4 linked regions of the Saccharomyces cerevisiae S288C genome follow. Changing the gene in region 1 together with any one later gene gives a genetic interaction. Each region holds a gene or a part of one and is shown in the gene's direction. Other genes may lie near its edges.

Region 1 (6,335 bases):
GTAGAAACAGTTAAAGAGCGCCGCTACCATTTGCACAGATGTACATATAAATAAATGACTTATTTTTTATATTCTATCAATAATAAGACAATTTGTGGTTGCCTTTAGAAATTTCGTGGCTTTTTTTCATATATTCTAACTTCAATAAAGTTTTTTTGATGCGAAATTTGATCGCTCATATTAAGGACGCCTGAAAAAGACATGCGTCTACATTTTGTGTCATTCCCATAAGAATAGTAAGAACAGGCATTTTTATAAATCGATACAAAAAAAGAGCTACTATACGTACATAAAGTCAGTAAATAATCAAATGTTCCCAATGAAAGATCACTCAGCTCTTGAACAACATACTCTCAGCAGAGATGAGTTAAGACGTCGCAAGGGTTACAAGAAAGGACTGCAGTTGTCAATTTTGTTACTTGGAGAAAAAGGCAGCGGCAAATCAACGTTTTTAAACAATCTGTGCGGTCAGGATATATCGCTTTCTGATGGGGATTATGATGATGATGATGATAAAGTGACAAATAATGTAACACCAGAAAATGGAAACGCCATCGAAGATATAGATCCTGGATATAAAACAGCCCATTTGAGTCCTGGGCTGAAGCTTGTCACCAGAAGAGTGTATTTGAACGATGAACTAGGCGTACCCATAACATTAGATATCATATTGTTTCCAGGCTGCGGTGACAATGTCGACAATTCACAAAGCTCTGTTGTTATAAAAAACTACTTAGACCAACAGTTTGCAAATGTTTTAAAAGAAGAGGTCAGAATAAAGAGAAACACAAAAGAAACTGATGGGAGGCCTCATGTTTGTTTATACTTTCTGAAGAGTACTCCAAGAGGAGTCAAAAAATTTGATATTGAGTTAATGAAAACGATTTGTGATAAAGTTAATTTAATTCCCATTATTCCAAAAGCCGATGGTCTCACAGAAACTGAATTAAATTTACACAAAGACATTGTGCGCCAAGAAATCTCTCAGAACAATATACGTGTTTTTGATTTTAAAAGTGACACCCTAGGCGAAACATTAGCTCTGTACGATATGGACATCGATTCCAGTTCAGCAAAATCCAAATACGATAATGACACGAAGATCAAGGAAATATCGCCATTTGCCATTGTTTGCAGCAAAACTTTTAATAAAAATTCGGAAAATAGGGTTGAGCATATCAGAACGTACGAATGGGGTAGCTTGGTGGTCGAAGACCAAAACACCTCCGATTTTATATACTTAAAAGCAATACTGTTAGGTTCTCACCTTCAGGAATTAAAAGATGTAACAAACAACGTATTGTATGAAAATTATAGGGCTAAAGTGTTAACTGAGAAGAAAAACAACTATGATATTCCAAACTATAGCTATATCGACGAAACCTCAAGGGGAAGTGTCAGCAATGTTTCCACCAGAAGAAATAGTGCAAGTAGAACACTTGGGAATCCAGATACAAACGATGAAAATGCTTATCAAATACACAAAGAAATAGACGAAAAAAACAGAATTATTGAAGACTATCAAAGGAAGATTGATTTATTGGAGAAAATGTTGGCAGCTCCCCATCAAAATAAGGTCTAAATAAATATACGGCCTTGTTAGCGTTAGATACATATGAAATAAAATTTTATTGCTTTTTCAAGTGCACTAAAGTATAAGGCAAAATTTTTTTAATCTATAATATACTTTCTCGATGTGTCTCTATATAACCTTGTGTCTTTCTTATTACTGGCACGGCTTTGAATTTTCAGAGTGCAGTTCTGATTAAACACGCGAGGATTTTTGTTCGTGGATATTTGCAACGATGAGCAATGTGAAGTGAGCAAGATAGAGAAACGCCATAGAAAAGAGCATAGTGAGAAAATCTTCAACATCAGGGCTATGTCAGGCCAGTTAGTTCAATGGAAAAGCTCTCCAGATCGAGTCACCCAAAGCGCTATAAAGGAAGCACTGCATTCTCCCTTGGCTGATGGCGACATGAACGAAATGAATGTTCCCGTTGATCCGTTGGAAAACAAGGTAAATAGCACAAACATAATCGAAGGAAGTCCCAAAGCAAATCCAAATCCTGTCAAGTTTATGAATACAAGTGAGATATTTCAAAAATCTCTGGGATTACTTGACGAGAGTCCAAGACATGATGATGAGTTAAATATTGAAGTAGGAGATAATGATCGACCAAATGCTAACATATTGCATAATGAAAGGACTCCTGACCTTGACCGAATTGCTAACTTTTTCAAAAGCAATCGAACCCCTGGTAAAGAAAATCTTTTGACCAAATATCAAAGCTCCGATCTGGAAGACACTCCTCTGATGTTAAGAAAAAAAATGACTTTTCAAACTCCAACTGATCCATTGGAACAGAAAACCTTCAAAAAGTTGAAGTCAGATACTGGGTTTTGCTATTATGGAGAGCAGAATGATGGAGAAGAAAATGCGTCATTAGAAGTTACAGAGGCGGATGCCACTTTTGTACAGATGGCTGAACGTTCTGCTGATAATTATGACTGTGCATTGGAAGGAATTGTTACACCTAAAAGATATAAAGACGAATTAAGTAAAAGTGGAGGAATGCAAGATGAACGAGTTCAAAAAACTCAAATCATGATATCAGCAGAATCACCTAATTCGATAAGCTCTTATGACAAGAACAAAATTACCGGGAATGGCCGGACCACAAGAAATGTAAACAAGGTTTTTAACAATAACGAAGATAACATAGGAGCTATCGAGGAAAAAAATCCAGTAAAAAAGAAAAGTGAGAACTATTCATCAGATGATCTCAGAGAACGGAACAATCAAATAATACAAAGTAATGAATCAGAGGAGATTAACGAATTGGAAAAGAATCTGAATGTTTCGGGTAGAGAGAATGACGTGAACAATTTAGATATCGATATTAATAGTGCTGTGTCTGGCACCCCTTCACGCAACAATGCGGAAGAAGAAATGTATTCCAGTGAGAGTGTAAACAATCGGGAACCATCCAAGAAGTGGATATTCCGATACTCAAAAGACAAAACGGAAAATAATAGCAATAGATCTACGCAAATAGTCAATAATCCAAGAACACAGGAAATGCCTTTAGATAGTATTTCAATCGATACGCAACCCTTATCTAAAAGTTTCAATACCGAAACAAATAATGAATTAGAGACACAGATAATTGTTTCATCGCTTTCCCAAGGCATATCTGCTCAGAAGGGACCTGTTTTTCATTCTACTGGCCAGACAGAAGAAATAAAAACCCAAATAATAAATTCTCCTGAACAAAATGCTTTGAATGCAACCTTTGAAACTCCCGTTACTCTTTCTCGGATTAATTTTGAACCCATATTGGAAGTTCCTGAGACTAGTTCACCATCTAAGAATACGATGTCAAAACCCTCGAATTCTTCACCTATTCCGAAGGAAAAAGATACATTTAATATACACGAGAGAGAAGTAGAGACAAACAATGTTTTTTCAAACGATATACAAAATTCTTCAAATGCAGCTACCAGAGATGACATTATCATAGCCGGTTCATCTGATTTCAACGAACAAAAGGAAATAACCGATAGAATATACTTACAACTTTCAGGAAAGCAAATATCTGATTCAGGAAGTGATGAAACAGAACGTATGTCCCCAAATGAGCTTGATACGAAAAAGGAAAGTACAATCATGAGCGAGGTTGAACTAACCCAAGAACTGCCTGAAGTTGAAGAGCAGCAAGATCTTCAAACGTCTCCAAAAAAGCTGGTAGTCGAGGAAGAAACTTTAATGGAGATAAAAAAAAGCAAGGGGAACTCACTTCAGCTTCATGATGATAATAAAGAATGCAATTCAGATAAACAAGATGGCACAGAGTCTTTGGATGTAGCTTTGATTGAACACGAAAGCAAAGGACAGAGCTCAGAACTTCAGAAAAACCTCATGCAATTATTTCCAAGTGAGTCACAGGAGATTATTCAGAACCGAAGAACAATAAAGCGACGTCAAAAAGATACAATAGAGATCGGTGAAGAGGAGGAGAACAGAAGCACTAAGACATCACCGACAAAACACCTCAAAAGAAATTCAGATTTGGATGCTGCTTCTATCAAAAGGGAACCGTCTTGCAGCATTACCATACAAACAGGGGAGACAGGTTCGGGCAAAGACTCTAAAGAACAGTCTTACGTGTTTCCTGAAGGTATTAGAACGGCAGATAATAGTTTCTTATCGAAAGACGACATAATTTTTGGAAATGCGGTATGGTGTCAGTATACGTGGAATTACAAATTTTATCCGGGTATTTTATTGGAAGTTGACACTAATCAAGATGGCTGTTGGATTTATTTCGAAACAGGAAGATCGCTAACCAAAGATGAGGACATCTACTACTTAGATATTAGAATAGGGGATGCTGTTACCTTTGATGGAAATGAGTACGTAGTCGTTGGTCTAGAATGTCGTAGCCATGATCTCAACATAATAAGATGTATTCGAGGATATGATACGGTTCATTTGAAAAAAAAAAATGCAAGCGGATTGTTGGGGAAAAGGACGTTAATTAAAGCACTAAGCTCGATCAGTCTTGACCTAAGCGAGTGGGCTAAAAGAGCGAAGATCATATTAGAAGATAATGAGAAAAATAAAGGCGACGCGTATAGGTACTTGAGACATCCCATTAGGGGAAGGAAATCAATGACCAATGTTCTGTCTCCGAAGAAACATACTGATGACGAAAAGGACATAAATACGCATACTGAAGTGTACAATAACGAAATAGAATCGAGCTCCGAAAAGAAGGAAATTGTTAAAAAGGATTCTAGAGACGCATTAGCTGAACATGCAGGAGCGCCAAGCCTGCTTTTTTCTTCTGGTGAAATCAGAACAGGGAATGTATTTGATAAATGTATTTTTGTTTTGACAAGCCTATTCGAAAATAGAGAGGAACTTCGACAGACCATTGAATCGCAAGGCGGCACTGTAATTGAGTCAGGATTTTCCACTTTATTTAACTTCACTCATCCGCTAGCTAAATCTTTAGTCAATAAAGGTAATACAGATAATATTCGAGAATTGGCCTTGAAGCTAGCCTGGAAACCTCATTCCCTATTTGCAGACTGCAGATTTGCTTGCCTAATCACAAAACGGCATTTAAGAAGCTTAAAGTACTTAGAAACTTTGGCGTTGGGGTGGCCTACACTACACTGGAAATTCATAAGTGCATGCATTGAAAAGAAAAGAATAGTACCACATTTAATATACCAATACCTATTACCTTCGGGTGAAAGTTTTCGGTTATCGTTAGATTCTCCATCAAAGGGAGGAATCATTAAATCCAACAATATTTTTTCATTTTATACACAATTCTTACGCGGATCTAATTTAAGAGATCAGATATGTGGAGTGAAGAAAATGTTAAATGACTACATTGTTATTGTTTGGGGTAGATCTGAGTTGGACAGTTTTGTCAAATTTGCTTTTGCATGTTTGAGCGCAGGTAGAATGCTTACAATTGATTTACCCAATATTGATGTAGATGATACAGAGCCATTGTTAAATGCCTTAGATTCTTTAGTACCCAGAATAGGATCAGAATTATCTAATCGAAAGTTAAAGTTTCTCATATATGCTAACGAAAATAATGGTAAATCTCAGATGAAGCTTCTCGAAAGATTGAGAAGTCAAATATCACTGAAATTTAAGAAATTTAATTACATATTTCACACTGAATCTAAAGAATGGCTAATTCAGACAATAATTAACGAGGACACTGGTTTTCACGATGATATTACGGACAATGATATATACAACACTATTTCTGAGGTTAGATGAAATTATAAAAATATATAAACTCATAATTGATAGAAAGGGACGATTAAATAAAAAAAAATTTAGAGATTCTTAATTAAGTCTAAGAACATCCTCCCACACGCCAGGAGTGGTTAATGTTCAAGATTGGTATTAGTTATACACGGTAACCAACAACGTTGGTAAGGTCTTTTTCTTCTATACATGAATTTTAAGATCAAGCATATATTTTAGGCTTGCATCTTGTAATGAACTAACTTTCATAAATAGCTTTTCTTTTTTGTATGAGGTATAAGATGAAAAATGTTAAACATGATACAGGATTTAATATAAAATGGACCAAAATAAGGAGCAATAACGAGATTCACCCCAATGGGTGAGATGAGAAACGCCAAGGTAGTGAAATATTTTTGTGCAACAATTTCAAAGATAAGATCGGTGTTCTCCCGCAGTAGTCCACTTCAGTCGCATGCATGGCTGTTTGATGAGAAATAAAATGAGATATTCAAAATCTCATCAGAAAGAGTTGAGTACTGGGACGACACAT
Region 2 (7,060 bases), on another chromosome or scaffold:
TGCTTGATCCTTTAGAGGTTCACATGCTTGACTTTCCTAACATAGCAATCAGGCCAACAGAGCTGCGACTACCATTTTCAGCTGCAATGTCAATAGATAAACTTTCTGATGTTGTGATGAAAGCTACTGAACCTCAGATGGTTCTGTTTAACATTTATGATGATTGGTTAGACCGTATTTCATCGTACACTGCATTTTCTAGACTTACACTACTTTTAAGAGCTTTAAAGACGAACGAGGAAAGTGCCAAAATGATTCTACTCAGTGACCCCACGATCACTATCAAATCGTACCATTTATGGCCTTCATTCACTGATGAACAATGGATCACTATCGAATCTCAAATGAGAGATTTGATTTTGACTGAGTACGGCAGAAAATACAATGTCAATATATCTGCCTTAACTCAAACGGAAATTAAAGATATTATATTGGGTCAAAATATCAAGGCACCATCTGTGAAGAGACAAAAAATGGCTGAATTAGAAGCTGCCAGGTCAGAAAAGCAGAACGACGAAGAAGCTGCAGGTGCATCAACTGTTATGAAAACTAAAACTATCAATGCGCAAGGTGAGGAGATAGTTGTAGTAGCTTCCGCTGATTACGAAAGTCAAACGTTTAGTTCAAAGAATGAATGGAGAAAATCTGCAATTGCTAATACACTATTATATTTGAGGTTAAAAAACATTTATGTTTCGGCTGATGATTTCGTGGAGGAACAGAATGTTTACGTCCTTCCAAAAAATTTATTAAAGAAGTTTATTGAGATATCCGATGTGAAAATCCAGGTGGCGGCCTTTATTTATGGTATGTCAGCAAAAGATCATCCGAAGGTGAAAGAAATCAAGACTGTTGTGCTGGTACCTCAATTAGGCCACGTAGGATCCGTTCAGATAAGCAACATCCCTGACATCGGAGACCTTCCGGATACTGAAGGCCTTGAACTACTCGGTTGGATCCATACCCAGACAGAAGAACTTAAATTCATGGCTGCGTCTGAAGTAGCAACTCATTCTAAACTTTTTGCGGATAAGAAAAGAGACTGCATTGATATTTCAATTTTTTCCACCCCGGGATCAGTATCATTAAGCGCTTATAACCTGACCGACGAAGGTTACCAATGGGGTGAAGAAAATAAGGATATAATGAACGTGCTATCGGAAGGGTTTGAGCCTACTTTCAGCACGCATGCCCAATTACTTCTCTCTGACCGTATCACAGGTAATTTTATAATTCCATCTGGAAACGTTTGGAACTACACATTTATGGGAACAGCATTTAACCAAGAAGGTGACTACAATTTTAAATACGGCATTCCTTTGGAATTCTATAATGAGATGCATCGTCCAGTACACTTTTTACAGTTTAGCGAATTGGCGGGGGACGAAGAGTTAGAGGCCGAACAAATCGATGTATTTAGCTGAATATATTCCCCAATAAACTGGAATCTGTTATTTCATAGATATATATGTAAGTATAAGTTTGTATGTATAATATTCAACGCATTTTTTATGCCCGTCGTAGTTGCTACCTACCACACGATGATGTATTATAATTTCGGAACTACTTCAAAGCTACGCTTTCCGCACTATGAAAAGCTATAAGTATGTGAAAATTGGTCATTGACTGTGATTCTATTTCAAAAAGTAACCAAAGGAGATAGACATCGTTCGGACAGAAAATGGTCCGTTGTCACTCCCATTCCATTATGTCCTTCATATAGAAATTGGATATTCTTGTTTTCATTTCGCGCAATAAAGCAATTCCGTGCGGCAGAAAGAACTTATATATATTTAACTGATCTTACGCTATTTATGGCAAAACTTGTGTTACATTTTTGAAGATAAAGTTACAATCATTACGGCAGCCTCAAAACAAAATTGGGAGAAAACATACTCAAGTGAGTACTCATTTTGTGCAAGCAAACACTGACAATTGAAGAGATCGTCAGGATGCCCGGAACGCCACAGAAGAACAAGAGGTCTGCGAGTATATCTGTTTCACCTGCGAAGAAGACAGAGGAAAAAGAAATAATACAAAATGATTCAAAGGCGATATTATCTAAGCAAACTAAGAGGAAAAAAAAGTATGCTTTTGCTCCTATAAATAACTTAAATGGGAAGAACACCAAGGTATCCAATGCAAGTGTCCTAAAGTCAATAGCCGTTTCACAAGTACGAAATACATCAAGAACAAAAGATATAAACAAAGCAGTTAGCAAGAGCGTAAAGCAATTACCAAATTCACAAGTTAAACCGAAACGGGAAATGTCTAATTTGAGTAGGCATCACGATTTCACTCAAGACGAGGACGGCCCCATGGAAGAAGTAATATGGAAATATTCACCTTTACAACGAGATATGTCCGACAAAACAACAAGCGCTGCCGAATACTCTGATGACTACGAAGATGTCCAAAATCCCTCTTCTACACCTATAGTCCCTAATCGACTGAAAACTGTTCTTAGTTTCACAAATATCCAAGTACCCAACGCTGACGTAAATCAACTCATTCAAGAAAATGGAAATGAGCAAGTGCGTCCTAAACCAGCAGAAATATCTACCAGGGAGTCTCTCCGTAATATAGATGATATTCTCGATGATATAGAGGGCGATTTAACTATAAAACCGACGATAACGAAATTCAGCGATTTGCCATCTTCACCCATCAAGGCACCCAACGTTGAAAAAAAAGCAGAGGTGAATGCAGAAGAAGTAGATAAAATGGATTCAACAGGAGATAGCAACGATGGCGATGACTCTTTGATAGATATTTTAACTCAAAAGTATGTTGAGAAACGCAAGAGTGAGAGTCAGATAACAATTCAAGGCAACACCAATCAAAAAAGTGGAGCCCAGGAAAGTTGTGGGAAGAATGATAACACAAAATCGAGAGGAGAAATTGAAGATCATGAAAATGTAGACAATCAAGCCAAAACAGGCAATGCATTTTATGAGAATGAAGAAGACAGTAATTGCCAAAGAATTAAAAAAAATGAAAAAATAGAATACAATTCTTCAGACGAATTTTCAGACGATTCACTAATTGAACTATTGAACGAAACTCAAACACAAGTGGAACCTAACACTATTGAACAAGATTTAGACAAAGTGGAGAAAATGGTCTCTGACGATTTGAGAATTGCTACTGATTCCACTTTATCCGCATATGCTCTCAGAGCTAAGTCTGGTGCTCCAAGAGACGGCGTAGTACGATTAGTAATAGTAAGCTTACGTAGTGTTGAATTGCCAAAAATTGGAACGCAAAAAATACTAGAGTGTATAGACGGCAAAGGCGAACAAAGTTCTGTTGTCGTTCGACATCCTTGGGTATATTTGGAATTTGAGGTTGGGGATGTAATACATATTATAGAAGGGAAAAATATTGAAAACAAACGGCTTCTTTCTGACGACAAAAACCCTAAAACTCAACTGGCTAACGACAACCTGTTGGTGCTAAACCCTGATGTATTATTTTCGGCAACATCAGTCGGAAGTTCAGTAGGTTGTTTAAGACGTTCAATTCTGCAAATGCAATTTCAAGATCCCCGCGGAGAACCAAGCCTTGTCATGACTTTAGGCAATATCGTACACGAGTTATTGCAAGACTCAATCAAATACAAGCTCTCGCATAATAAAATTTCTATGGAAATCATAATACAAAAGCTGGATTCTTTGTTAGAAACTTATTCTTTTTCAATTATCATTTGTAATGAAGAAATCCAGTACGTTAAAGAATTAGTTATGAAAGAACATGCTGAAAACATTTTGTACTTCGTCAATAAATTTGTTTCGAAAAGTAACTATGGTTGCTACACATCAATTTCCGGAACAAGAAGAACACAGCCAATTTCTATATCCAATGTGATTGATATTGAAGAAAACATTTGGTCTCCAATATATGGTCTTAAAGGGTTCCTAGATGCAACTGTTGAAGCTAATGTTGAAAACAATAAAAAACACATCGTTCCTTTAGAAGTGAAAACTGGAAAATCCAGAAGCGTTTCATACGAGGTTCAAGGCCTTATTTATACACTTCTGTTAAATGATCGCTATGAGATACCGATAGAGTTTTTTCTTCTTTATTTTACGAGGGATAAAAATATGACAAAGTTCCCTTCTGTTCTGCACTCCATTAAACATATTCTCATGTCCCGAAATAGAATGAGTATGAATTTTAAGCATCAACTCCAAGAGGTTTTCGGACAGGCTCAATCAAGGTTTGAATTACCACCCTTACTGCGCGATTCATCTTGTGATTCATGTTTCATCAAAGAATCATGCATGGTGTTGAATAAGCTACTAGAGGACGGGACACCAGAAGAAAGTGGCCTGGTAGAAGGTGAGTTTGAAATTTTGACAAACCATTTGTCGCAAAATCTCGCCAACTACAAAGAGTTTTTTACAAAATATAATGATCTAATAACTAAGGAGGAGTCAAGTATAACATGTGTAAATAAAGAACTTTTCTTATTGGATGGTTCCACAAGAGAATCCAGAAGTGGAAGGTGCCTTTCTGGCTTGGTTGTGTCAGAGGTGGTTGAACATGAAAAAACAGAGGGAGCGTATATATATTGCTTCTCAAGACGTAGAAATGATAATAACTCGCAGTCGATGTTATCATCTCAAATTGCTGCTAATGACTTTGTTATTATTAGTGATGAGGAGGGTCATTTTTGCTTGTGCCAAGGTCGTGTACAATTTATAAATCCCGCTAAAATTGGTATCTCCGTAAAACGAAAGTTATTAAACAATAGGCTTCTAGATAAGGAAAAAGGAGTCACTACCATCCAAAGTGTGGTCGAATCAGAGCTAGAACAATCCAGTCTCATAGCTACCCAAAATTTGGTCACATATAGAATCGACAAAAATGATATCCAACAGAGTTTGTCTTTAGCGCGATTTAATCTTTTAAGCTTGTTTTTACCAGCTGTTTCACCTGGCGTGGATATTGTTGACGAAAGGAGTAAATTATGTCGGAAGACAAAGAGATCTGATGGAGGTAATGAAATACTGCGATCACTTTTAGTTGATAATAGAGCACCTAAGTTTAGAGATGCAAATGATGATCCCGTCATTCCGTATAAGCTTTCAAAGGATACAACATTGAACTTGAATCAAAAAGAAGCAATAGACAAAGTAATGAGGGCCGAAGATTATGCATTGATATTGGGAATGCCAGGGACTGGTAAGACTACTGTTATCGCAGAAATTATTAAAATTCTCGTTTCCGAGGGGAAACGCGTGCTTTTGACATCATACACACATTCAGCAGTGGATAATATTTTAATAAAATTGAGGAACACCAACATTAGCATAATGAGATTGGGAATGAAACATAAGGTCCATCCTGACACGCAAAAATATGTCCCGAATTACGCGTCAGTGAAAAGTTATAACGATTATTTGTCCAAAATTAACAGCACCTCTGTTGTTGCTACCACCTGCTTAGGAATTAACGATATACTATTTACACTAAATGAAAAGGATTTTGATTATGTGATTTTGGACGAGGCAAGTCAAATTTCAATGCCTGTCGCTTTGGGACCTCTGCGGTATGGAAATAGGTTTATTATGGTAGGAGATCATTACCAGCTACCGCCATTAGTTAAAAATGACGCAGCTCGATTAGGTGGGTTAGAAGAGTCACTGTTCAAGACTTTCTGTGAAAAGCATCCGGAAAGCGTTGCAGAACTGACTTTACAGTACCGTATGTGCGGCGATATTGTAACTTTGTCTAATTTCCTAATTTATGATAATAAATTAAAATGCGGGAATAACGAAGTTTTTGCTCAATCTTTAGAGTTACCAATGCCTGAGGCCTTGTCGCGCTATAGGAATGAATCGGCTAACTCTAAGCAGTGGCTTGAGGATATACTAGAGCCTACAAGAAAAGTGGTATTTTTAAATTACGATAACTGCCCGGATATTATCGAACAAAGCGAAAAGGATAACATTACGAATCACGGGGAGGCAGAATTGACTCTACAATGTGTGGAAGGAATGTTATTGAGCGGCGTACCATGCGAAGATATTGGTGTAATGACGTTATACAGAGCACAGTTAAGATTACTGAAGAAGATATTCAACAAAAATGTGTATGACGGGCTAGAGATCTTGACTGCTGATCAGTTTCAAGGTCGTGACAAAAAGTGCATTATTATTTCCATGGTTAGAAGAAATTCTCAATTAAATGGAGGAGCGCTGCTGAAAGAGCTAAGAAGAGTCAATGTTGCCATGACAAGGGCCAAATCCAAGCTGATCATTATAGGTTCAAAAAGTACAATCGGCTCTGTTCCTGAAATAAAATCGTTCGTGAACCTGTTAGAAGAGCGTAATTGGGTCTATACAATGTGCAAGGATGCACTCTACAAATACAAATTTCCCGACAGATCAAACGCTATTGATGAGGCACGCAAAGGTTGTGGAAAAAGAACAGGTGCCAAACCCATCACATCAAAGTCTAAATTCGTAAGCGATAAACCTATCATAAAGGAAATTCTACAAGAGTATGAAAGTTGACAGGGGGAATAAGAAGAGCTTCTCCATAACAGGAAAGCTATCACAGCATAAAATATCTATGTCATTTTATAAAGTTTGGTATATATAACACGTAATATTAGCATCTGAGGTTCGAAAGCTCGCATGTGTGTCTTTTCTAAAAAGTTTTCGTTTGAACTTTTCCAAAAGCTTCCTCATTAACGAACCAGGATGTTTTTTCACCAAATAATTTGTTAACCAATGCGGTTGGCAATTGATCGTTTTTCAAGTCAAAGATCTCATGCATTATATTTTGTTTGGAACTGCCCTCAGCCACAAAACACAGGGCTTTGGCGTCTTTCAACACAGGCAGAGTGAAGGTGATTCTGTCACTTGGAGGCTTGGGAGAATCGTGGCACCAAGCAACTCTTTTGGTTGTTTCGTTCAGCAAGTACCTATGTGTTTCTCCAGGGAATAAGGAACAAGTGTGTCCATCAGGACCACAGCCCAACAGTACCAAATCAAGCACTTGAGGTACGATACGCTCGTACTCTGCAGCAATTTTGTTGTTAGATTCAGCA
Region 3 (5,844 bases), on another chromosome or scaffold:
TGAGGCAGTCCTAAGACTTGGGACATCGATAATAACTCTTTGGATATTTTTGGCTCATATTCGAAAACGTCCAAACCAGCACTTCTAATCTTTCCAGAACGCAAAGCATCAGTCATGGCTTGTTCGTCTATCACGGCACCACGCGCTGTGTTAACAATAACTACACCATCTTTCATTTTTTCAATAGTCTCTGCATTGATTAGATGGTGAGTATTGTGGTTCAGTGGGACGTTTACAGATACTATATCAGAACGCTTCAAAAACTCCTCGAATCCTACATATTCACAACCATGCTCTTCTTCGGAAGGAAGCTGGTGTCTGTTATGATATATGAAATTCTCGAACCCAAACGGCTTCAATCTCTCTAAAATACAACGACCAATCCTACCTAGACCCAGTATACCAACTGTTTTCCCTTCAGGGTCGTATCCAAAGGGAGAACCACATGCGGGTCCTGCCTCCGGCCAGTTTCCCTCGATCAACCTTCTGTTACCAATACCGAAGTTTCTTAGGGCACCCAATAGCAAAAATACATGCGTATCAGCGGTAGCATTGCTAACTAAATCAGGAACATTGGCAACCTGGATGTGCCTTTTCTTGAATGGCTCAACATCAATTTGGTCATAACCAGCACCAGTATGACATACAGCCACTACGGAGGAGGGCAAAGCAAGAGCAAGCTCTTCATCAAATCTACCGGTGTTTTTCACACTCCTTGCTGTTCTAGTAATGACTTGTACTTGGGAGAGCTTATTTTGTGGGTCTTTTACCTCCCGCAAAAACTGTTCTCTAGTGGTGGATTCAGGGATGGTAATTACATCCGCAATCTTTTCCAATTCCCCCCAGGCTTGGTCACCAAAGGCATCCTTTCCTAATTTCAAAACAATTGGTTTCTTACTCATATTCTCTTCTCCTCTTCTTGCTCGTTTATGTATTGTTAATACTTCGGTATTGTAGAGCAATAATCATGTAGAAGGATTTCCCTAACGTAACAACAAGGCCAATAGAATTTACTTTTTATATGCTCGAGATTAGTGAAAAATGGGATAAGATTGCCTTGTTATCCCCGCCCCCTGCCAAGACTTTTGCAGATTTTAAGTCCGCTCTCGGTCCTACGTAATAAATGCCTGGAGAAGCTCTAGAGCTAATTGCGTCGTCCTTCAGGAATTCTGAAGACCACAGCAACGCAATCAGATGGCGGAACCACATTATGAAGCCAAGTGAGGTGTATACAGAGTTATACGTACTTTTCATCCATCCCCGCTCGGTTTCACCGTTCATAACGCTGGTTTTCACTGCCACTTCTCATATCAAGTCAGCGAAATAACCAGTAGTTGTCCTGTATATAGGCATCCCTACCGTTTGCTTTAGGAAGCTGTTCTGTGTTACTATCACAACTGGGTAGTGCCCTGTATGAATTGCTTCCCTGTGGAAATGGCCCTTCCATTATGCTACTTTGACGCGTTTACTGCCGCATTACGCGTTTACGATGAAAAATTAAAATGAGTATTAAGGATTTTTCAAATGAGATATGGTTCGTAAGTCGCCTCACATATGATAATACCATCTAGCTTGTGGGGTTTAGTGTATCTTTAATATAGGAGGGCGCACACTATGTCTGCTGATTTGCAACAAGGCACTACAAATGCGGCTGATTTCTCTCTGACGGTACTTAGAGCAAGAATTGCTTTATTGGCAACTGCCATCGGTGGGCCGGATTATACTTCCCAGATAGACCCACCCCCTTATAAGCTTGGCGATGACTGTTTGGCGTGCTTAAAAGATCTGAAAAGATGGTTTAAACTAGTGGATGACCAGCAGAAAAGATGGGATGTGGCAATGGCAGTAGCTGAATATCGCATCTTGACGGATGATCTGTTACCTATTCTGATAGATTGGGAAAACAAATGTTCTCTTGCAGCAAAGCTTGCAAAGAACAACCCAGACCATGAAGAGTTTAGAAACAAAGCTTATTACGATAAAATTGCGCTAAATTGTCTACAACTATTGGTCCTTATGACTTGGCCTTTAATTGTAACTGAACAGTCTTCATCAAATCAAATTACTCTCTATGGTGAGCTAAAGAAGCATCAATTGGTATACAAGAAAACGATTCTGTCTATGGAAAGTGGTAAAGTGTTAAGAGCTGCCATTAGATTGGCTCTGGATGTTATCAAAATCGACCGATTATCAAGAACTCCTAGGGACAATATGGTTCTCAAATTGGTTTTGAATTTTTTCAGAAATGTCATTGCTATAGAACCCGGTGAATTTACTATCAATACTAAGAAAAGCATGCCTAAGAAAGGTATCACATCTATCGATACTTTGCCACCAAACGTCTCTATGGATGACATCTCTTTAAATACGGTTATTTCCTCATTCCATAAAAACAAGGTATTCGGTTTCCTCTTAACGCTGACCAGCTCCTTATCAAAAGAGTTTGACCAGGACTTTATCAATATCCCACTGTTGGAGATTATGTTCTACTTCACTAAAGATGTTAACCAAGAACTGCTATTCCCTCGACAGTTCGAAACCGGGACACATTCAAAGGTGGTAAATAAAAATGAGAGCTCCTCTGCTAATAACATTGTTACAAGTGCAGGTTTTGAACTATCGAAGTTATTACAAAAGGAACACCAAATGAGAAAAAACGTTATCAAGCATACATCTGCAAGACACTCCAGATTTGGTGGTCTTTTATCTATACAAACACCAGATAAAACTAGGTTAACTGTTTCTGGTAGCCAAGCTCTCGTAGATGAAAAAATAGCGCTCCAAAAACTAGATGACAGCAAAAAATGGAATAAAAGAATAATTAAAAAGCATCAATCTGTCGCAGCTGAGGGCTTACCGAATAGTCTCTTGAATTCACAAACCGGTAAAGCTATTTTTTTCACCGAATCAAATGGTAAACATTTCAAAGAATTCATCAACAACTTTATAGATTCCGGCTTTAACATCTTGTTGCATAGTGTGACGAACTACTTCACAACTGAGCAGGATAGGATGGTAACTTTGGAGCAAGTCGAATATTTACTTTTCTTTGCATGGTTTGTTAAATACCAGTTGTTGAGGTCCAAAATCGACAATTCCGCAGATATAAAGCAAGTTTCAGAAGCCTTGAAAGAGGTGACTTTCATTCTAGTGTCTTCTCTTTTAAGAAGCGCATATGACCTGAAAAATTGGACAGTGACACATGCTGGTATGATTGCATTTAATGAACTGTTGAACCTCGTTTCCCGTACAAAGGCCGCTCAAGAAGAGGATTCGACCGATATAGAATTCATTGTAAGTAGGCTTTTCAGTGACGAGAGAATACAATTACTGTCAAATCTGCCGAAGATTGGTTCCAAATACTCCCTCCAATTCATGAAAAGTTGCATTGAACTAACACACTCGGTATTGAAAGTATTAGAGCAATACTCTGACGATAAAACATTAGTTATTGAAGGCAAATCAAGACGGCAAAAAAAGTTTAATATTTCAGAAGGTGATATTACTAAATTGATAGAAGAAGAAAATGTAGATAGAGATGAAGCGCTTGATATTCTAACCTCTTCTTTAAGAAGTATAGAAGTCAATTTTCAAAAGGTGCAAGCCAACTATATGACAGAACCGGTAATAGAAACGTACATTAATTTCCTTGAAAGATTTCGTGAGCTTGAGGACGATTCCATTAAAAAAGTATTTTCCTTTTTCCATAGAGTATTTGTTCAGGCAAAAGAACAGGCATTGTTATTTAGATTTGATTTGATAATATTATTAAGAGAAATGCTTTCACCTGACGGATTAGATAGAATGTCTCGTTCAAGGAAATATGTGAGTCAATTTTCAGACTACTTCCTCGCCAGGTTGAAGAAAAGGTTAAAGAAATCACCTGCTTGGTTTGTTGGATTACTTTTCCCGCCATTACACAATAGTGAAGTAGGATTTTACCAAAGATATGGTGAATATAATGTACTTAATAATGAATCAATGTATGCCGCTCCTGCATCACAGTTCAAACCAATTCCCGATGAAGAAGCCTTACCACCTTCGATTTTGTTGGATATGAAATATGGTGTTTTAGTTTCCACATTACTTGATGATGGAAAAACTGAACTATTGGACCAACTGCTCAAGCATATAACCCACACACTAGATATTTTTAAGTCGTGGCTAACCGTAAATGTTAATGCTGGGAAAGAAACAGTTAATCCACCCAATGAATATTTCACATTGACAGGTGTACTCAACAACGACCCTATTTTTAAAGATAAGGACTACAGGGCTTTATTGTTGCTGATAGGATACTCCATTCCACGTAAAATCAATGAACCTTGTTTTTTACCGGGGACTGTTGAAGTTTCTGACCTGACTGTTTCTTGTGAACTAGTGAAAAAATACTTATCAACACCATTTGAAACTCCAAACGGACTGCCTTCTTCTTCCTATCTTCTACGAGTTCGTTCAGAAAAGGATAGTTTTTCTCACAATGAACAAGATGGATGGGAAGGAGACGATGATTATGATTACAACGATCCCTACATTGTTCCAGATGATCAAATTTTATCGAAAAGCGACGCAGCATACTTCAAGGATTTAGATAACAATGCATCAGATAAACTTAAAGGTACCAAATTCAGTAAAGGGATTGCGAGATCCAAAAAAAAAGATAAGAGGAAGCGTAGGAAAGGAGAAGCCAAGACTAATTTGCCAATGTTTGGCGACCAGGATGATGAACGACCTCAGACCGTTAGAGAACGCCATGGCGTATTCAGTAAAGAGTTTATTAGTGATTCAGAAGATGACGAGGATTTGATGAACCCTATATTTTTTGAAAACGAAACATATATGAGATGGTTACTAGATAAAAACAATGGTCAGTTGACCGAGGATAGATATATCCAGTTTGCCAAATTTGCCGCGGAAAGGATGAATAATGGGGGTGTTGTGACAGGAGATTATACGAGCTTGTTTGGTGGATCCATACCAAGTATTGAAAGCATAAGAGCTACAGAAAGTAGTTCCTTTGCGCCAGATAAAAGCCTCATTTCTTTAGCAAGCCACGTGGCATCTGAAATGTCTATTTTCGATGTAAATAATAACAATAATAATCAACTCTCTGATGACGATGTCAACTCGGAATCAAGAAATAGTTTGGGCTCATCACAGCCATCAAATTCGCAAAATATGTTCCAATCTGAGGTGTATAGCAGAAAAGAATCTACAAAGCGTTCTTTGGAAGCGAGTGCAGCCGATGAAAGCGATGAAGATGAAGAGGCCATCCGCCTTTTTGGCAAAAAGTCTAGAGTTGTTTTGAGCCAAGGTGATAGTGATGATTGAGAATGAATATGTAGTAATTAATCCCTTTAATACGTGTAATTTTAGAACCACTTCTTTACTCTGTTTTTAAGTTCAAAGTATTGACATAATATTAAAACAATACATGCGATTCATTCTTTATCATTACCTATATTTTTCTAAGTTGTTGAACATCTTAAGGAACTCAAATGTCCATTAGGACACATAAAATTAAATATTATATAATTTATTGCTGTTCCTGGGCATCATCGAAATTGTCATCATTGCTTGAAGACGCATGCAATCCGCTACTAGGACTATTTTCCCCTATTTGTTCTTGGGTTTTGTCGCCTATCGTCAAGTTTGTCTTTAAAGTTTTTTCATTATTATCCTTCTTAGAGTTCTCGTCTCCAGAAGATGCCCTCTTCGAGGATATATTTTGTTTTACATTAGACTCAGCGTTTTCAAATTCAGTCTGATCAATTGCGCTTTCTTCTCTAAATTGCTCTTCTAAATCATCCAAATCTTGGAGTAACTTCTTCTTTTGTATCTTGC
Region 4 (5,997 bases), on another chromosome or scaffold:
CCATCTCATTCTTGCCCAATAAATTTTAGAAACACCCTCTTATGAAGGGCGGCAAAACATATTAAGTAAGTGTCGATTGTTAAACACTTCCCCTTTTTTTATGCATAGTAAAAGGTACAAAGAAAATAGCGTACCGTCCTTAAATCAATATAGAAATATAATGAAAAAATAAGTGCTTTGATAAGAATATCTTGAATACAAATTAAGAAGTGTATATTTATAGATATTTTCGTTTCAGCTTGTGTCTGTGTGTGGCCTTATATGTAATATATGAGATGGAAGGTGAACAAATTATGGAGTATGTTCAAGAGACACCGATCATTCCAAAAAGGATTATCCATTATTCGATTCCAAAACAAATGATCACAAAGCCCGCTCCCCATGTCGAGATGACGTTGGTAGCTAATACTTTTCGGGACATGGACTTGCCGCAGCATCCGGTTATCCATGATTGTTGGCAAAATAAAGAGTACTCAACTCAAAGATATTCAGGAAATGTGGCTCAACAGAGATTAAGTTTTGAGGAACATCCAAATGAAGAGTGTCAAAATTCTGTTGGGTTAATCAAGAGAGTGAGTACTTTCTTTAAAAAGAGGCCATTGTCTCGAAAGAATAGCATAAAGTCAATCGGTGACGTAAAATCGGAGGCACGTAACCGGGGAGAAGGCCTCCTGGGTGAAGTTGATAATCTTAACGAGCAGAATGTCCGAGAAAACCTGACTAGTGAACATGAAAAGAGTCCTGAAGGAGATTCCAAAAGGTATGGCCTGTTCTCCTTTGAAGAGACCCCCCCTATACAAGTGTTGGAGCAGGGCAATATCAATTCTGAGCTTTCTTCATTTAAAAACACTTCTTTGGCGGAAAACAAACGCTCTTCTGACAGCTTCGTTTCGTTAAAACCGGGTGAAGATGAACATAGCCCTTTAGAGATTAGTACGTGTGGTAATTTGACTGAAAGAGAGGATTTGCAATCTGGCGAAGAACGGTTTGACTCAGCAGCCCAAAATATAAAGGTAGCTTCGATGAAGGAAAAAAAAAAAATCTTCAAAGGGAACAAAACAGATTAATCACTGAGATTATACGCCTCGAAAACATACTAAATAAGCATAGGAAGGCTGAAGCTAAGAATAATATTAACAAACTTGAAAAGAAGTTGAGTGAAACAGATGGTTTTACATCTGTAAACACATCAGTTCCAGTAACTCCTATTATGCCGGTCTTAAATACGAGAACTTCTTATCCCAATATCGACTTTCATGGTACTAAGGTTTCTGATGTTCTAGATGCCTTTGAATTTGAAAAGCATGATGATCCCTTAAGGGATAAATGGAACACTTTACAGTTTTTGGAAAAGAGCTTTGAATCTAAATTTGAATCTGCATCAGAGTTAATCCAAGGAGGCGAGCTAGCTGCTATTAAAGAAAGAAATTTTCAATTAGCCAAACTAAATAATCTTTGCTTTCGGGTACGAGAGTCCATCAAAAGAAGACAAGACCTGGAGAAAAAGTTAAGAACTTTATCGCAGGACACTGACAACGAATTGCTTTTTCTGATGTTGGAAAATGAGAGAAGAAAGAAAAGTTCAGTGATAATAGAGTTTCTTTCTGAGATAATCAGAGAGAAATCCAAAAGATTAACTGCAGAAGAGCAAGGCTTTGTAAATCAAAATGAAGTAAAACCCCTCATTCTGGACCTTTCTGCACGGATAAATAGATTGAATTCTATTCTAGAAACAAAAAATACTTGTATTAGAAGATTAAGTAATCAATAAGTAGTTAAATTTTCATAAATTATTACTTTCTTACATGTTAGTTGGCGCGTCGTCTGGCTGAAAATTTTACGCGTCATAAACCCTTAACTTTTCCACACATTATTCCTTACTGCTAAGCGCATTGCTCACTTGAAAGTAAATTATCTACAAAGTTACATTATCAAAAGGCCTTAGAAACACACCTAAAGTCTTACAGTATCACAATATGAGTCATATTGAACAGGAAGAAAGGAAGAGGTTTTTTAACGATGACCTTGACACTTCAGAAACATCGTTAAACTTCAAATCTGAGAATAAAGAGTCGTTTTTATTTGCAAATAGTCATAATGATGATGATGATGATGTTGTTGTATCAGTGAGTGATACAACAGAAGGAGAGGGAGACCGATCTATTGTGCCAGTCAGGCGAGAAATAGAAGAAGAAGGCCAGAATCAGTTTATTACAGAGCTTTTAAGGATTATTCCAGAAATGCCAAAGGATCTTGTGATGGAACTTAATGAAAAATTCGGCAGTCAGGAGGAAGGGCTCTCTTTAGCATTATCACATTACTTTGATCACAATAGCGGGACGTCTATCAGCAAAATACCGTCTTCCCCGAATCAACTAAATACACTCTCAGATACCTCAAATTCAACCTTGTCCCCATCTTCATTCCATCCTAAAAGAAGAAGAATATACGGGTTCAGAAACCAAACACGATTAGAAGATAAAGTTACTTGGAAAAGATTTATAGGTGCTTTGCAAGTCACTGGTATGGCTACCAGACCCACCGTCAGGCCCTTGAAGTACGGCTCTCAGATGAAGCTAAAGAGATCAAGTGAAGAGATTTCTGCTACTAAAGTATATGACTCACGTGGTAGAAAGAAAGCGTCCATGGCTAGTTTGGTAAGAATTTTTGATATCCAATATGATAGAGAAATTGGCAGAGTTTCGGAAGACATTGCTCAAATACTATACCCTCTTTTAAGTTCACACGAAATAAGTTTTGAAGTTACATTGATTTTTTGTGATAATAAACGGTTGAGTATAGGTGATAGCTTTATTCTACAATTGGATTGCTTTTTAACATCTCTCATTTTTGAGGAACGTAATGATGGAGAATCCTTGATGAAAAGAAGACGTACAGAGGGAGGAAATAAAAGAGAGAAAGACAATGGAAATTTTGGAAGAACATTGACTGAAACTGATGAAGAGCTAGAAAGCCGCTCGAAAAGACTGGCTCTACTAAAGTTATTTGATAAATTGAGGCTAAAGCCTATTTTGGACGAGCAGAAGGCATTAGAAAAGCATAAAATAGAGCTTAATAGTGACCCCGAAATCATTGATTTAGATAACGACGAGATTTGCTCTAATCAAGTGACTGAAGTCCATAACAATCTCCGAGATACTCAGCACGAAGAAGAAACAATGAACTTGAATCAATTGAAAACATTTTATAAGGCCGCACAATCATCAGAATCTTTAAAAAGTTTGCCTGAAACAGAACCTTCTCGCGATGTCTTCAAGCTAGAACTAAGAAATTATCAAAAGCAAGGTCTTACTTGGATGCTAAGGAGGGAGCAAGAGTTTGCCAAAGCAGCCTCTGATGGTGAGGCTTCAGAAACGGGTGCTAATATGATAAACCCATTATGGAAGCAGTTCAAATGGCCAAATGATATGTCGTGGGCAGCTCAAAATTTGCAGCAGGACCATGTAAACGTTGAAGATGGCATATTCTTTTATGCGAACTTACATTCTGGTGAATTTTCGCTAGCAAAACCTATATTAAAAACTATGATAAAGGGTGGCATATTATCAGATGAAATGGGGTTGGGTAAAACAGTGGCAGCGTATTCTTTAGTTTTATCTTGTCCTCACGATAGTGATGTTGTTGACAAGAAACTGTTTGATATTGAGAACACAGCAGTCTCAGATAATCTTCCAAGCACTTGGCAAGATAATAAGAAACCATATGCTTCAAAAACAACGCTAATCGTGGTCCCAATGTCTTTGTTAACGCAGTGGAGTAACGAGTTTACAAAAGCTAATAATTCCCCCGATATGTATCATGAGGTGTATTATGGTGGGAATGTTTCCAGTTTGAAAACCCTATTAACCAAGACAAAAACCCCTCCAACTGTAGTCCTTACTACATATGGTATTGTTCAAAATGAATGGACTAAACATTCCAAGGGAAGGATGACAGATGAGGACGTCAATATATCTTCAGGCTTATTTTCTGTCAATTTTTATCGCATAATAATCGACGAGGGTCATAACATTAGAAACAGAACGACAGTTACATCTAAAGCAGTCATGGCTTTACAAGGCAAATGTAAATGGGTTTTAACAGGAACACCAATTATTAACAGGCTTGACGATTTATACAGTCTGGTTAAGTTTTTAGAGTTAGATCCCTGGCGGCAAATTAATTACTGGAAGACCTTTGTATCAACGCCTTTTGAGAGTAAAAATTACAAACAAGCATTTGATGTGGTGAATGCAATTCTGGAACCCGTATTGTTAAGAAGGACAAAACAAATGAAAGATAAAGATGGTAAGCCATTAGTAGAGTTGCCACCAAAGGAGGTCGTTATTAAAAGACTTCCCTTCAGTAAATCTCAAGATCTTCTATACAAGTTTCTGTTGGATAAGGCTGAAGTTTCTGTTAAATCGGGTATTGCACGCGGTGATTTATTGAAAAAGTACTCCACTATCCTTGTCCATATTTTAAGATTGAGGCAAGTCTGTTGCCATCCCGGTCTTATTGGGAGTCAAGATGAGAACGATGAGGATTTATCTAAAAATAATAAATTGGTTACGGAACAAACGGTGGAGCTTGACTCTTTAATGCGTGTTGTTTCCGAGAGATTCGATAACTCATTTTCTAAGGAGGAATTAGATGCAATGATACAAAGATTAAAAGTTAAATATCCAGACAATAAATCGTTTCAGTCCTTAGAGTGCTCCATCTGCACAACGGAACCTATGGATTTGGACAAGGCTTTATTTACAGAATGCGGCCACAGTTTTTGTGAGAAATGTTTATTTGAATATATTGAGTTTCAGAACAGTAAGAATTTGGGTTTAAAGTGCCCCAATTGCCGTAACCAAATAGACGCTTGTCGGTTGTTGGCATTGGTACAAACGAATAGCAACTCGAAAAATTTGGAATTCAAACCATATTCACCAGCCTCCAAATCAAGCAAAATCACTGCTTTATTGAAGGAGCTTCAATTGCTACAGGATAGTTCGGCAGGCGAACAAGTTGTCATTTTTTCCCAATTTTCTACATACTTGGATATCCTGGAGAAAGAGCTAACTCATACTTTCTCAAAAGATGTTGCAAAAATTTATAAATTCGATGGACGTCTCTCATTAAAAGAAAGAACTAGTGTATTAGCAGATTTTGCCGTTAAAGACTATAGCAGGCAAAAAATCCTATTACTCTCGCTGAAGGCTGGTGGCGTGGGTTTGAATCTAACGTGTGCTTCCCACGCTTATATGATGGACCCATGGTGGTCGCCCAGTATGGAAGATCAGGCAATCGATAGACTGCATAGAATTGGCCAGACAAACAGCGTCAAAGTTATGAGATTTATCATACAAGATAGCATAGAAGAAAAAATGCTACGCATTCAAGAAAAGAAGAGAACCATCGGTGAGGCCATGGACACAGACGAAGACGAGAGAAGAAAAAGGAGAATTGAAGAAATCCAGATGCTGTTTGAATAGTCATACCACATACTCATATATAAAGACTTTATTTATTATTATTTTCAACCCGAAAGAACTAATTATTCTTCAGCTACTTCATGCAACTTCTATTATCTTCCTTTTCCGTTACCCGTATTTTTAAGTTGCAATTATTAAAAAAACAATTAAGAAAATAAAACAGCGCCATAAGGCATGGACGATAGAAATACGAAGACGAAGAAAATCATCATCAGTCGGGATCAAATAAGAGATAATTTTGAAAATCGAAAGTTTTCATTATGACAGAAAGTGTAGGTGGAAATAAACTAGTAGATTTTTTGGTAAATGTTCAATCCATTTTGAATGCTGCCTCTGTGAAATGTCATGTAGTAGATGAAAGTTTTCCAGCCAAGTTCTTTGAGAAAAATCCGGATAAGATATATGAATCATATTGTAAATTCATTAAAAATAGAAGTAACTCTGAAGGTTTGATACGTAATGAAGATAAATTAGTTTTGACAACTATCAATAAGAGGTTTGAAAATGGAGA

Evidence for each region.
Region 2: of RAD9 (region 1) and DNA2, a mutation in one rescues a mutant of the other (synthetic rescue), as found in Saccharomyces cerevisiae (6 studies listed by BioGRID, with this or other methods).
Region 3: mutations in RAD9 (region 1) and TOF1 together harm fitness more than expected from each alone (negative genetic interaction), as found in Saccharomyces cerevisiae (12 studies listed by BioGRID, with this or other methods).
Region 4: mutations in RAD9 (region 1) and RAD5 impair growth when combined (synthetic growth defect), as found in Saccharomyces cerevisiae (10 studies listed by BioGRID, with this or other methods).

Annotation. Positions count from the first base shown.
Region 1 is NC_001136.10:899,028-905,362, reverse strand, and holds RAD9 (chromatin-binding protein RAD9), read left to right. Parts: upstream 1-1,882; coding exon 1,883-5,812; downstream 5,813-6,335. Other genes in the region: septin SPR28, read left to right, coding at 311-1,582. UniProt on the Saccharomyces cerevisiae protein: Essential for cell cycle arrest at the G2 stage following DNA damage by X-irradiation or inactivation of DNA ligase.
Region 2 is NC_001140.6:424,071-431,130, reverse strand, and holds DNA2 (bifunctional ATP-dependent DNA helicase/ssDNA endodeoxyribonuclease DNA2), read left to right. Parts: upstream 1-1,952; coding exon 1,953-6,521; downstream 6,522-7,060. Other genes in the region: U4/U6-U5 snRNP complex subunit PRP8, read left to right, coding at 1-1,424; 6-phosphogluconolactonase SOL3, read right to left, coding at 6,658-7,060. UniProt on the Saccharomyces cerevisiae protein: Key enzyme involved in DNA replication and DNA repair.
Region 3 is NC_001146.8:121,269-127,112, forward strand, and holds TOF1 (Tof1p), read left to right. Parts: upstream 1-1,614; coding exon 1,615-5,331; downstream 5,332-5,844. Other genes in the region: GOR1 (glyoxylate reductase), read right to left, coding at 1-902; guanine nucleotide exchange factor SEC2, read right to left, coding at 5,537-5,844. UniProt on the Saccharomyces cerevisiae protein: Forms a fork protection complex (FPC) with CSM3 and which is required for chromosome segregation during meiosis and DNA damage repair. FPC coordinates leading and lagging strand synthesis and moves with the replication fork.
Region 4 is NC_001144.5:203,015-209,011, forward strand, and holds RAD5 (DNA helicase RAD5), read left to right. Parts: upstream 1-1,976; coding exon 1,977-5,486; downstream 5,487-5,997. Other genes in the region: YLR030W (uncharacterized protein), read left to right, coding at 276-1,067; YLR031W (uncharacterized protein), read left to right, coding at 1,211-1,771; RSC58 (Rsc58p), read left to right, coding at 5,747-5,997. UniProt on the Saccharomyces cerevisiae protein: Probable helicase, member of the UBC2/RAD6 epistasis group. Functions with the DNA repair protein RAD18 in error-free postreplication DNA repair.